Linked DNA regions of Lepisosteus oculatus. The protein of the gene in region 2 interacts with the protein of the main gene of each other region in a biochemical or structural test. Links are inferred from orthologs where the notes say so. Each region holds a gene or a part of one and is shown on either strand. Other genes may lie near its edges.

Region 1 (7,019 bases), on a different chromosome or scaffold from region 2:
TAATTGGGTACGTTAAAAGAAAGAGGAAAGTTGTTTATTTGTTCTCACGATTAGCTATATTGTACTTTTGTATATTTTTTTTAATTCCAGACTTAAAAGACAGAGATTCTTTTAACTCTTTGTTTTCTTTTTTTCTTTTTGTATACTCTGGATGATCTTGATGTTTTAAAAGAGAAAAAAAGAGCATTTAAGAGAAAATAAAGAGTCCATTATGGGGATTGGCGATTTGGAAGAAATAAAAAATAGTCAATACAAATGAGACAATTAAAAAATAATACAGGAATTCAAATATTCAAAAGTGCCGTCAATAACAAAAACAAAATAATCACAAAAAAAGAACAGTAGTAAGAACAGTACTACAAAACATCAGAAATTCTCACACCATATTGGATGCTAAGAATCTGCATTAGAAAATTCCATCCAGTTACATGAAAGATGTAATTCCAGGCAAAAGCACTTACATCGGTGTCCACCCACTGCCTGACGTCCAAGGGCGGGCCTGTCATATCGTCCACTTTGTACAGGATGTTGGTCGGAGCTTTCTCTGCGTTACGGACAATCCCCACTAATGTGACCTAGAAAACACCCAGATGGTGAACCTGCAGATCAAAATCAGCCCAGCGTTTCCCATCAGTGCAACACATGGTCCTTCACCCTCCACCCTCACAGCAAGCCTTACATTAAAGATTGCAATAAGTAATCTAAACCCTTGGTTTAACAGACTTCAGTTGTAATAAACTAAACCCGCTAAAGAAGAATTTCTCTGTAAAATTATAAATATCAGACTTTCCCCACATTAACAATGAAATACACGAATAAGAAAAAAAAAAAGAAAAAAAATACTACCCATCAGTCTCAACGATGCCCTGTAGGGGTAAGCCTATTGTTTATGATGGGTATTGTTTGTGCTTTGCTTGCTTTAGCGAATTTTATTGTCTATTTATGACACGATAAAAAATAGGTTATATAATACAAAAAAAGCACAAAAAGAATTTTCATTGACCGCGTTTGACTTGGAATCGTTCCAAGTCAAACCACCCCGAAAGCATATATATAGTATGCATATTTTTTTTCCCTCATATAATAGTGTGTTTTTAGGCAGAACAAAAACATCAACCAAGGGGTTACTGCACCAAAAGAAACGACACTCAAACGCAGCTTTTGCAGGGGACCTGATAACACCCTTAACGAGGAGCTTAACCCAAGGCAGGGCCTGGTGGGAAGCCACCCAGGTGAGCCGTAGCGGAACCTGCCCTTACCTGGGAGACCTCCACCTCGCCCACCTTGAAGACGTCCTCTGCCTGGGAGGAGGACAGCAGCTGGGAGACGGTGCAGGGGACGATCTGCTGTGTCCTCGCTCTCTGCGGCACGAGCAGAAAGAACAGGCGCCACATCAGTCCGACACATCGCAGCGGGCCAACCACACTGCCAATTAATTCAGTTAATTTAAACGAGTCAACTTAATTGGGAGCCCAAGTGGCTCAACCAGTAAAGGTGCTTGCTCCACACCCCTCGTCCCCCTGGTTGGCCTGCGTCACGGGTTCAAGCCGACTCCGGCCGTGACCAGGATGTCCCAAGTGGCCGTGCCCAACGGGAGAAGTGTCGCCAAGAGCAGGGGTGGGATGAGCCCCCCAGGGCCCCCCCCCCAGCACTGTGTTCGGTGGGTACAGGATGAACAGCTGGCCAGTCTCCGTTCACTTCACCAATGTGCACAGCAAGGCAAAGTGCAAATCTGCCGAGTCACAAGAACATTTCTGCTCCTGTGGCATGAGCCCCCGTCTTTGACTTCTACCTCAATGGAGATCAGACAGCGCATGCCAACGGGGCAGTGGCGGGTATGGGTTCCGTTTCTGCCTTCTTATTCCGGGTGCGCTTCCGGAGAATCGGTGTACTCACCGATTTCTTCTCTCCTTGCGAGGGGGCAGGAGATCCGAAGCCCCCGGGGGACTGTGTGTAACCCCCCGCCATGCTGGAGTCGCCATAACCTGCGACAGAGACCCGTTTACAGAGAGAAACCCAGCAAGTGGACCAGAAGGGTCCTGACGGCCTCACACTGCGGTGTCCACGCTCACCGGCCCTACCAGCTCTCCCTGGGAAACACCAGATCGTCTAAAGCCTAGACAGTGAGCAAGTGACCAGAGAGCTGTGGACCAGGAGTGCCCAACTCTGGTGCAGTCACTGCAGGGCTCCTCCCAGCTGAGCCAGATTGGGACACTTTAACAGATTGTCCCAGTTCTTACACCCATAATGAGATGTATAAAGCCTGCTGGACAGTGGGTACCGGCACCAGGACTGGACAGTCCTGAGCTGGACTGTGAGGCCCCAGTGGAAGAGCTCGTCCCTTCAAAGTATTGCAACTGAAACTAAACTTGCATCTAAACTCAATTCTGTACTGCAAATATCATTAAACGCCTAAATATTACCTTAAAGACCTTAAAAACAGTGCTGTCGTTTTACTTACTGGACGCATAAATCTTGTCAGTACTATGGGTACCTGTAATTAGATGCTGTAACGAGCTTTCAGAACAGGTCTTGTTACTACTACTGTATTTACGTACATAAGCAAGAACAGTTCTGACCCATACCTGTGACTCACATTCAACTACCAAGTTCACGGTAATAATTACATTTCTCTTTGGATTTTCAAACTTATCTCGAAGTATTTGGTTAGCAAATCGAGTGGAAACGGATAACGGTCTTCTTTCAGTGTTTTGTAGCATCCTGTATAATAAAGCTTAAGTGAAAATTAAAAGATAAACCGCTTTACATTTTTTAGGTAAATCAAACTAAATTTCAAATTCTTGCTCATCAAAACAAACCGCGGTCCAACATGCAGCTTAATCCAGAAATCAGATGTTAAAACAAGCGTCAGCGCTTGTTTTACAACGAACAAGGTTAACACCTCTTACCTTGGTTCCACATGATTAGAATATATTAAAACAATACTGAGAACAACAAAAAAAAATACTATTAGTAGCTCAAAAGTTTTGGTTATATCAGACACCTGGAGCAGAATTCTTCCTCTACGTTTTAAGCGCGCCACAACACCAGACACAAAGCTCACAGCACATGCGCCATAAACTCCCGCGAACTCCTTTGCCCAATCAGCGACGACAGCGCTCTCTGACGTCAGCCCAGGACACTATTTTGCCAACACTTGCCTTCATTTCTCACGGAAGTATGCAGGGGTACGTAGAACAGAGCGGGTAGCCATACTTACTGAGGGAAAGACGGCAGGCGAAATGAAAAGTGGTGTTCTTAGGCAAAATAATTTATTTAGCTTTTAGGCTCGATAATTGTTAGTGCATATTTCTCCAGACCAAAGTCTGGCAGGACCAACTTTAAAAAAAAAATGTTTTTCATAAGTATATTACTGGACTTCCCAGAGCTTACACTAGAGGACACTGCTTACATACATTGGACGGAAAATCCAAGAGAATCCGATACTGTGAGCTGAGTACAGGCGTAGACTGTCGGCCTGAATTATTACGATGGTAATAATTCCTTCCATTTATAGAGCGCTTTTCTGGACACTTCACTCAAGGTGTTTTCCAGGTAGTGGGGACTCCCCTCCACCAATGTGTATCCTCATCTAGATGATGCGACACCAGCCAGAGTGCACCAGTTCGCTCCCCACACACCAGCTCTCAGTGGGGAGGAGAACAGTGATGCAGTTCATAGATGGGGATTAATAGGAGGCCATGATTGGTAAGGGCCAATGGGAAATTTGGCCAGGACACTGAGGTAACACCCCTACTCTTTTCGAGAAACACTCTTTTTAATGACCACAGAGAGCCAGGACCACAGTTTTACATCTCATCTGAAAAGAAGGCACCTTTTTTACAGTATAGTGTCCCCGTCACTATACTGGGACATTAGGACCCACACAGACCGCAGGGTGAGCGCCCCCTGCTGACCCTACTTACACCTCTTCCAGCAGCAACCTTAGTTTTTTGCAGGAGGTCTCCCATCCAGGTAATTTAATCTCTTCTGCTGGAAAACCCTTCACTGACCCTCATGTATCAATGATACGTTTGCCTCTTTAGGAATATCAGTACAATAAATCTGAAGAAAAGCAAAACTAATCAGTTCTCAGTATTCACAACTGAGGTCAACGTTTTTTCAATTAAACTCAAAGTTTTTTTGAGTAAAATGTATTTAAAAGAGGTTTGTTATGCTGTTGTAGAGAACATCTACTCGAATCCAAGTATACATTTTTAACATGTTATTTCAATTTATTTGATCATCTCTTCAATCATACCGATTTTTAAACACACTTACAATGTTTCGGGAGTGTGTTTCTGTAGTACACATCTGTGCTATCTGTTTAATGTAACAATAATATGACAATAATTCATTCTGTCATTTGGTTAACTGCAGACATATTTAAAGATGTATTTTTTTCAAGAAATTTCCTTCTTCATTAGGAGTCAGAGCTTCTAATTCTCAGTTTTTCTTTCATTTTGTTGCAAATGGTGACTGGCCTTTTATGAACACTGAACTCTGGGTCTGTGTCACAGTGTTTACCAATTCCCTCAATCCTCAGTGGATTTTTGGCATCTTTGGGAAGCCTGAGGGCTGCAGAAAACATCTGGGAAACATCTGCGATTCATTACAGCTCAAGGGCTTCTGCAAATGCCATGGGAACGAGCTATTTTTAAAAATTGCATTCAGGAGAATGGAATAGTTGTTATTGAGTGTGTTTCCTTTTGGCTCAATTGGCAAGGTAAGATGAGAAAATGGCTTTCATTGCTTGTAGTGGACTTTAATTCTTCTGACTAAGCAAATTCAAGTTATCTTCTCTTGCACTTTTCATTAATTACAGGTGTGTACAATTTGGCTTGCTAAAATGAAAATTATATTTGTATATAACTATCAAAAGCTAAAGAAAAAGAGCTGTCCGTGTTTCTCATTCTTCAGAGATAGTAGCTCTTTAACGGAAAGCCAAATGTGGCCTAGAATGTGGTTTTCCTATATTTGTTAAGGAATGCTTGAAGATAGATGTTAATGCTGTACTAAACTAACCGTAGCCATTTTATCTAATCATTCTTTGAAATACAAATAGGTTTAAATATAAGATTTTGTTCTGAAAAATACAAGGTCTTAATGAATCCAAAATCATTCATCACCTATTTTTCTAGTTTTTCTCAGTTCTGTATAATGACCAAGATTTGCATTTGAGCGTTTGTGGCTGTTGCTTTAATGAACAGAGACTTTCTCATCTATAATAAGTCAGCAGTCTGTAATAACTAACCTTTCTTTAACTCAAGAACACTCCATTTGAGCGCCAACAGTGGAGGCTCTGTAACCGAAAGAAGCTTTGGAGTATTAAAATGAAAACACAGGAAATTAGGAGTCAGAAATAAAGGATGCAAAGGAGCACAGGTCACGTTTCTATAGGAAATGTGGAGATCTGCTAAAATTAGCTGAGACTGGAGGTTTGGCTTGGTATGTGAGGGAGTATAGTATGACTTTGTCCGGAGGAAATGGAAAATTAATAATGAAACGTGGACAAAAAGCTTTTCCAATCAGCTGCTTCCACTAAAGGGAGAAAGAAAGGGCCTGAGTCCGGCCACTTTTGTGTACAACTGCAGCCCTCGCACACAAAGAAGCTAAGATGCAGAGCAGTATGATCTTTAACTATTAAATGGAGTTGAGTCTTAAAATGAATTATAAGTCATTTCTATAGATATACAGCCTTGTCTAGGAGTCATCAGTACATTACTTAGTGTTTGTTTTAAGTATGTTTTACATAAAAACACAACTGAACTGTGAGCAATCAAACTGTTTCTTAATTAAGTAATTTAGAAATCATTCATCCATTTTGTAACCACTTTATCAAACCGGGGAGCTGGAGTCTATCCAGGCAAGCAAGGGGCACAAAGCAGGTTACACCCTGGGCAGGATGCCAGTCTGTCACAGGGCAGACACACACACACACACTAAGGTCAATGACATTATCAGCATGTCTTTGAGCTGTGGGAGGAAACTAAAGCACCCAGAGGAAACCCATACAAACATGCGGAGAACATATACACTCCATGCTGATAGCACCCCAGCAACTGAACCCAGGGCCCCAGCACTGCGAAACAACAATATTTCAAAATCATTTGGAACACAAATCTGAAGACCTACTAATTCCCTTAACTTAATTAATTGCTTGATTAAATTATAAATACCAATTGCTCCTCATCTTCAAGAAAGCAGGTCATGGTGACTGAGATCTCCACTCTAGAATATAAGGAAAAGAGAGGGGGAAGAGTTTTCTGGCATGAATAAATGTAAATTCACCTCCCATTTTATATGTGGGGATAGTTCCTTTAAAATCATTTCAGGTTTACTTCCCTTTCTGCTAGGCTTTTCTGTAAATGCTTTAGGAAACCTGGTTCTCACAGATCTTTTGAATTGAGCTAATCTCACTATATTGTATTCGCCTCAGCTGTGTGCTTCTGTTGGTACAACAATCTACACTCATTGGCCTACTTTCCATATCCACACGTATATTTACATGAGCAGAGTTTCTTCTGATTTACCAAGGGGGGGTAGGGGTTATGTATATATTTCACAATCACATGACCCACAACTGTCATTAACCATAATCATTTTTAAAACATTTAAACAAGTATGGCTCTCTACCCACTCCTGCCAAAACTGGCCTGGATGTAGCTTTGGCACAACATAACCAAGATTAAAAACAAGTGCAGCCATTTGGTATTGAGGTTTTGCTTTAGTGAATGATATGTGAAACCCATTAAGGGAAATACATCTCAAGGGCATACGGTCATGGGAATTATTTACAGAGTGGTATTTTCTCAGTTCTGTTTTTGAACCACAAATTATGGCCTTAAAGCCATTGGGAAGAAGTTCCAGTGCCTTGTCTTGGCAAGCCAGCAAGTTCCTCTTTCCCACACGGAGATGTATATTTTGCTGTTCTTTTAAGATGCTTTAATTAGCATTTCCTTGTGTCATGCCTGTCTGTGAGGTCAACTCATTCCTGTTTGAAAGCTTACAATAGGCTG
Region 2 (7,659 bases):
TCCGCCTGACTTTGAGAATCCGATTCCAATGTGGAAGGAGGTGGGACTCACGGGAAAGCTCTCCGAGACGGGCTCCTGCTCTCCTTCGTTTTGGAATTCCTCAGTCTCCACAATGACAGTAGATATCTGGGGGGTCCTTGGTGCTCCGCCCTGTCCAGCCAGCAGCCCACCTCTCCTCCTGGGGGAGTCACTGAAACACCGCACAGCACAGGAGGATCAGGCCTTCCTGTATCCTTTCCACACAGCTCATACACTAACAGCACGCAGGCTGCCAGGCACGGAGAGACCACTACGCCTGGGCCAGCTGCCACCTCAGCCTGAGCTGCAGATTCCACGCTTGTCTAGCAGGAACAAGCAGACAAACACAGGGAAAGAGACACAGACATGGCTCTCAGCAGACATGTATTCTTTGCATACAACACTGCAGAGTTTTCCAGCTGGAAGGATTCAGAAATGACACAGGTGCTGAAGCAACACAAACCAGCAAAGCAGAGAATCCTCTGGGAAAAAACGTTGACTTTAGGAAGGCCACACCTTCTCAGCGGTCTCCTCACCATTTCCTGCGGCCCGGAGACAACTGTCCTGGGCTAAATCTGCGATCTGGAACAACAACCTGCAGAGGGGAATCTCCTACAGGAAACAAAACAAAAGGGGCTCTTAAGGAACCAGTAATCTGCAGTCCTCAGGCAGCCTTTCCATACAAGCTTTCCTCTACTGTACTCAGAATCTGGGCAAGGATTTTTCCTTAAATGGACACACTGATGATCTGTCATTATGAGAGACTAATGTATTGACAAGTACTATTTAACAGGTCAAGATGTTTTTGTAGAACAAAGGCCACAGGACTAACACACAAAAAACTAAAAACCACATGTATAACACAAAACAAAACCTTTAACTACATGTTCACCACGACCCCTCGGTGTTCCACTTACTGCTCACGTTGAGCACAGCCCTGCTTCGCTCCTGGACCTGAGACTGGCTGACGCACAGGGGGGAGGGTCTCGCGTGCAGGGAGCTGTAGCAGATGGGAGTGGAGCACCCCAGCATGGCCTGAGGCACGCACACGGGGCTGGGGCTGGGGCTGTGCTGGCCGGGAGAGGGAGTCACAGACAGCAGCCCGGAGCTGCCCGGAGCCGGCGGGGAGGGCTGAGCTCTCTGATGCCGCACGTTCAGGATCCCATTCCGGGTGCGAACTGCAACATGGGCACACGGGCACACAGCAGGGGTGAGAGCTCCGATGAGCACACGGACACGCACGCAAAGAGAGAAGCGGTGCCAGACACCCGAGAACAAAGATCTGAAAGTACAGGCTGATACTGTAAATGTGCCAAAAGGCAGAGGGGAATAAAAATTCAAAGTCAAGAATGTTTGAGATTAAAAAATCATCAAATCTTTTTTTTTTTTAATATTGAAAGAGCCAGAAGCAATGAATAGTTACAATGCCAACAGACTGTGCAGGATCTGATTCATTATGAAACGATGGTCAATTTTAGCTAAGAAAACAATACAATATGCTTTTCTTTTCAATATGGGAACATCTGCGAATGCAAGACAGAACTTTCCAGAATGTCTGAGACCGACATGGAAGGAGACATTTATAAGAGGGTTATCATAAACATGCAGAGGAAAAAATCAGTTATCTTTTTTCTAAACCTTCAATTTCCCCTTTTCTCCTACAAGTCTGAGAAATCCATTTGACAGACTCATTATGGTATGAAAGACCTGTGGTTTCCTAAAATCTAAAATGCAGTGAAAAGATACCGGACAGAAAAAATAAACTGTATTTAAATAATAAAAATGAAAAGGCCAGCTTACATCTTTGGTTGTTGTAAATGCTTGGAGAGTTCTGCATACACCTAGTGAGAGCAATAGACATCATTAAGCCATCCTGAAAAACAGTTTTGCTCAAAAACATCTTTATTCATTTTACATTTCACTATTCTCATGCCAAGATAATATCTGACAGTCCTGCAAAATTTGGAATGTGTCAAATTATAATATTTCATTTCTTTAGAAATGGGATACTTATGACAGACTCCCCGGTTCCTAGTTTTAAATGTAGTTTCAACCTACGTCCTCTGGTTAATGCGTCACTCTGTTCAGAAGAATTCCACTGGGATGGGTTTGTCAATGCCTCTTTCTGTTGAAGCCTACAAAGCTTCAGTTCTAGTCTGTCTGTGTAGGGTGTACGCTGGTCCAGCAATGTATATGGTTACTCTACCCTGGACTGGTTCCTGAGCCATAGTAGTTTTTTCGTAACACAGGTGACACAAGAAATTGTTTGCATGATGTCAGGAGCTCATGACAGTTTATCTACAAGATTTTCTTCCATTCTGCAGCTCTGGTAAAAACACCGCTGCTGCGACAGTCTCCGGGAGCAAGTTCTTATGGTTGCATATCCTGAAACAAGAGGCTCCATTTACCCCCACCCCCAGAAATCCAGTTAAAGTTTCCTTTTACCTGATCTGATTCAGAGTGAAATCTAATTTCCTCCAGAGCGACGTCATCATAGCAGGTACCTGTGACTCCTGGCTGCATTCTTGACAAAAAAAAACAGTTGTATATTAACAAAACATGAACATATGAAGCTCTGAGTCTGAAGTTATTTTAAAACCTCCAGTACTTGCCTTTTGCTTTAATGGCAACGTATTCATTCAGAATGGTGTTCAGGTTTTTCCCAAACAAAGACTGCAAAGACAAAACAACATGATAAAACAGAACGTAGGGAAACATAGGATAAATCTGAGCACACTGCTCAGATTAGAGATGTCTAACACACTGTGTATGCTGTTTTCATGAAAACAAATCTAGCACATGAAACGCAAGCTATTTCATTCAGACAGCTAATGAGAGCTTTAGGTACGGTGAGACTTTCGCAGAGAATAAAGAGTGAAATTTTGCATGTGCATGCCATAAGATGCCGAATTTCCACAAGTCTTTCCATTACAGCGTACAGGGGCGAGGGGCTCTGCTGAGATCGGACAGCACTCACAAACACGCAGGCAGGAATCGCTCCGTCCTCGGTGCTGTGCTCCGCGTACTCCTTCAGGTCCGGACTCTCGCTGATGAACGCCCGGCAAGTGGCAGTCAGGCGCTCCTGTTGGAGATACCCTTGGCGCACCCCAGAACAAACAAGCACTCGGTTTACTTCATTTACTGGAATTTCAAAGCAATATCAACTCACCAGGGCATGCATCCAAAAATACACATCCTTTGTCAATAAGCGAATTATGCACAATTGTTCGGACATGACTGATTTCTGATAACGTCCTTGCAACTGAAATCTTGGCAAGGTCATAAACGCCACTGGAATACTATCAAAATCTGACATCTGATGTACTGGACATTTTTCCCCAGTATTAATAATTTCGTCACAGTCGTTATGGAATTTGACATTAACACGTACCTGGTGTGTAATTTAGTATTTTAGGTGGTAGTACTCCGACCACCGTTGTTTCAGACAGCTTACACCCAGTGGTATCGATATCATGCATCAAATATTATATGCAGTGCTTTCTGTTATCTACACAGTGAAAGACACGCTCTTTAGCTAACCATGCTCTTGTCCCCCAGATACAGGCTCTGGTACAGTACGTGTTGCAGGGGCCCTTTGTGATCAACACAGCTCTCAGCTGCGACCGCAGAGCAAACTCCCCGGCTACACGCCTGTGTCCCGCAACAGACCCCGCTGCGACCCCTCCAACTTACCCAAAACCAGCCTCGCAATGTCAGATGGTAGCAACATGGCTGTTGTGAAGCCTTTTCAACTGGCCCTCATACGCACAGTCATGAAAGAAAACCGAACAGCACACATTTGAGCCGTTATACTTTTTCTCAGCTCAGCTGAACACAACTCCCAATAACACCCACCCGCAGAAAAAGCGCGGAAATTCAGCACGTTTCACCCGGAAGTATTCGCCTAAAAGGCTGCATGGGAAATGTAGTTCGGGTGTTCGGTCAGTCAATGTCAGTACGCGAGACAGGGTTACATGGCGGATAATGTATTAACATATAGTAGCGCTCTTGGGTTCAGAATATTATATAAAACGTTAATTGTGCGTAACAATGGAAACTGGCATAAAATAAATCAGAGGTCCAAACAGATATTCTGTCAGTGGAAATGTTTTTATCAAAAATGTTATTGCAACAATAATATATACAATACAGACAAGAGTTTATATACATAACATCGTCAGGGGTACATAACACAGCTGCATTTTACAAAATAATTAAATGAGATAAATCAAGGTACGCACAGATTGTATATTCTTACGCTTATAGCAAAACGTCTGGAGACATGCTGTGTTTTGAACTGTTCAAATGGGGGTCTCTTCCCAGACCGTTTAATTTTATGTAAGTGTCATGATTAAATTTATGACAAATGATATGATATTCTGTATTTTTTTCAACGGGATTAAAAATACAGTGGCAGTGCGTTTAAAGCTCCAGTCTGCAGCTCCTGCACCAGAGACCCCCTGCCTCGCTGGGACTGGGGAGGCGGAGCTATCTCAGGAACTGGGGCCGTGATTGGCTAGCGGAACCGCCCGTCTTCGCAACGACCCGGAAATGAAGTTGAAGTTGGGGAGGCGCGGTTTGTGTTTGTATTGCTGTGCGTGCTGTGCTGTCTTTATAGTGGACAGTACTTGGGATTTAGTTTAAGTGAACGTCAGAACACGGCCCTGTCGTGAAATAAAGAAAGCTATATAAGGAGGTATGTGAATAGGTACCCAGTTCCCAGCGATTTTTAGATGCGGAGAATCATTTAGTAGTTTAAGATGATTTGACGTCAATTTTAATCAGACTGCATAGCTAGCTTACTTTACTTTAAAGTCTGGATCTTGATCGTATGTTTTTGGTAATACCGTGCAGATCTAAACAAGTGTGTGTAGCTCGCTTGTGATTGTTGAACGTGTACACCTAGCACGGTCATCGCCGATCTATTCTGAAGGCAGACGGGGACTCCTGGACTTGAAGCACCTGAAGCAGTGCTACTCCTGCTGTAATACTGCGTTCTCCGTCCGGCTGGTGTGGAAGGTCATCAGACGGCAATGTGGTCCTCTCATCGCCCGTGTGCGCTGTAGATCTTAGCAGGATCTCAGGGACTGCTCCTTACAGCTCAGTGGGATGGGGGGTTGGGCACTTTAAAAAACGAAACCAAAAACGTTTAAACTGCATTAATGTGAAACCCTTATTAATGGAATGATTTATGTATAGAATCGTTTGTGTTTGTGATCAGAAGGCATACTTTGAAGGGGTGTAATGAATCAAAACAGGCCTGTGTCTGCAACCCGCCCCCCACACACGCTTCTCCAGTTCGATTCTGTGCTCCTGCACTGTCAGTGCGGCGTCAGTACTCGACATCGATTCCCCTGTCTGCCTCTGCAGGCCCCCAGTGCAGCGCCACCCTGAGGACAACATGAGCCTGTTGCTGCATGAGCTCCTGATGTGCTGCCGTGGGCTGGAGAGCGACAAGGCCACGGAGAGGAAGGTAGATGCGTTCACCTCTGTGCAGGACAGGGGCGTGAGTCGCTCAGGAGTGACCAGATCACTTCAGTGCTGATGTTCAAAGGTTCAAAGGTTAATGAGGAAGCTGAAAAAGTCTGAGAATGTAATAAGCTTTCTTTCATTCATACATTTGTTTTTAAGTGAGTAACTTTTGGCATTCCTATGAAGCATTTTCCCTGACATAATGAGTGTTTTGACAATAGTGTGGATTTGATGTATTAAACAGCTGTAGATTAAACAATCAGTTGCCACTAGCAGAATGTTCTTAGGAGTCCACCTGTCAATGTTATTTTGCAGAAAGAAGCGGATAAATTTAAGCGGCTCATCGTGTCTCCTGAGACAGTTGAGGCCCTGGACAGAGCCAGTTCTTCAAGAGCAGCGAAGGGTTCCAAACAGCTCACCTGGGATGCTGTCTTTGGGTAGGTGCTCTTAAAATGAGCCCGAATGAATGACCGTGTGTGATGAGTTCATGCCGGTCTGCTCCAGGTCGCATTAGTCACTGAGGATGTTTCCTGTGTGTTAGTTGTGAAGCCTTGTTGTGGATTTTCTGTCACACAGCCTAACTGTGCTGTGCACCCACCCTTTCGCCGATTTGGTTTATACACACACGCAGCCCAGCAGTGCTCCTGTCTGGAACAGTGCTCACAGGGAGTCCTGGAGGTGCTCTGTTTGTAGCTGAGGGGGAATGCCTTGTAAAATGGCGAAGATGCACGTAAAGCCTCTTGCACAAGCCGCAGCTCTCACTGGCTCGTGTAGAAGCCCCAGTGCGCTGTGCTCCTGTGTTCTTGCACTGTACTGCCAGGGCAGCTGCAGGGTCTTACCTGCTCTGTAGCAGAGCAGCACAAGCAGGATGGCGCCTCTGCTGGCCTTGCAGGAGACAATGGTAAACCCACGAGTGACGGCCAGTGTGTAGTATTCTGAACTTGTCAGAAAACAAAAGCCCAGCTCCCCCGTTTTTACCACCAGGCTCTCAGTCGTGTGAGCGGGTCGCGATTTCAGCGGTCTGGCCGAGCGTAGTGACATCTGCAGCGAAAGGGGTGTTTAAGAAGCCCCTGCTGGACGTGCGGTTTAGAAATTGGATGCTTTAATTAACTGCGGCCCAGGCGAATCTGACAAAGCAGCGGCTCTCGTCCCTGAAGGGTTCTGCGCCGGTACGTGGAGAGAGAAACGGAGGCGCTGCAGACTGGGAAGGCCAATGTGTCCGCCACCACACAAGCAAACAGGCACAAAAAAATGCAGGAAGTCAGCAGCTTGCTCAAATTTTTCATCAGATGTGCAAACAAAAGTAAGTGACCATGTTTTAAGTCAACACAGATCTTTGGCAGCTCATTGACCGCTTGCTTAATCTCCTGCCTCCTTTCCCTGCCCGTTGTTCACACATTGGAGCGATTGCCTTTCGCAGGAGGCCCCCGCCTGAAGTGCACGGACCTCCTGGCTCACCTGGTGGGCGTCCTCAGGAGCTCCTTCTCCTGCAGTGCCTATGGAGAGGACTACAGCAGCATCCTGCTGAAGGACATCCTGTCTGTCCGCAAGTACTGGTGTGAGGTCACACAGCATCAGTGGGCTGGTAGGTGCCTTAACCAGCACCTGAGCTCCACTCCATTAAGTGTGTGAGCCCAGACTAATATATTCCCCATTCCGACTTCAGCTCAGCAGTCAGGGTGGAATTAGAGTCTGTACTTGGAAAGATTAACAATGAAATAGAACTGCTGTGCCGTGTTGAAGTGCTGATTCCCTGTGTTCTCCTGTCCAGAGCTGCTGGAGGTGTATTGCGGTTTCTACAACAGCAGCTCCAGTGCCATCAACCGCGTGCTGGTGAGCAGGATCATCCACACCCTGGTGAGGGGCTGCTGCCTGCAGACAGAGGGGCTGGTGCACAAGCTCTTCAAGTTCTTCTCCCGAGCGCTGCTGAACGCCAGGTACCGCACCTCGCTGCTCCGAGGAGAGCCCTGCCCTGCGGTCCGTGACGTCTGAGCGTGTGTTCTGTGCCTCGTGCAGGAGGGAGAAGTACCTGGCTGTCCTGGAGCACCTGCTGGCTGCTCTGAACATCTTCCTGAGGGCCTCGGCCGTGAACTGCCGCACACGGGTCTGCGGGCTGGGGGAGGAGCTCCTGCCCTCTGTCCTGTGCGTCTGGGCCCAGCGGCGGCCGCA

Evidence for each region.
Region 1: of the proteins of atm (region 2) and rpa2, one has a biochemical effect on the other in vitro, tested with the Homo sapiens proteins (3 studies listed by BioGRID). The link is inferred for Lepisosteus oculatus from reciprocal best matches to the Homo sapiens genes ATM and RPA2.

What each region holds. Positions count from the first base shown.
Region 1 is NC_090706.1:4,816,016-4,823,034, forward strand, and holds the start of rpa2 (replication protein A 32 kDa subunit), read right to left. Parts: upstream 3,071-7,019; 5' UTR 2,923-3,070; coding exon 2,910-2,922; intron 1,986-2,909; coding exon 1,897-1,985; intron 1,362-1,896; coding exon 1,260-1,361; intron 576-1,259; coding exon 462-575; intron 1-461. UniProt on the Homo sapiens protein: As part of the heterotrimeric replication protein A complex (RPA/RP-A), binds and stabilizes single-stranded DNA intermediates that form during DNA replication or upon DNA stress.
Region 2 is NC_090700.1:683,053-690,711, forward strand, and holds the start of atm (serine-protein kinase ATM), read left to right. Parts: upstream 1-4,596; 5' UTR 4,597-4,714; intron 4,715-5,388; 5' UTR 5,389-5,419; coding exon 5,420-5,491; intron 5,492-5,805; coding exon 5,806-5,927; intron 5,928-6,647; coding exon 6,648-6,793; intron 6,794-6,910; coding exon 6,911-7,075; intron 7,076-7,261; coding exon 7,262-7,427; intron 7,428-7,506; coding exon 7,507-7,659. Other genes in the region: protein NPAT, read right to left, coding at 52-190, 555-630, 936-1,196, 1,819-1,859, 2,464-2,542, 2,631-2,691, 2,996-3,114, 3,712-3,748.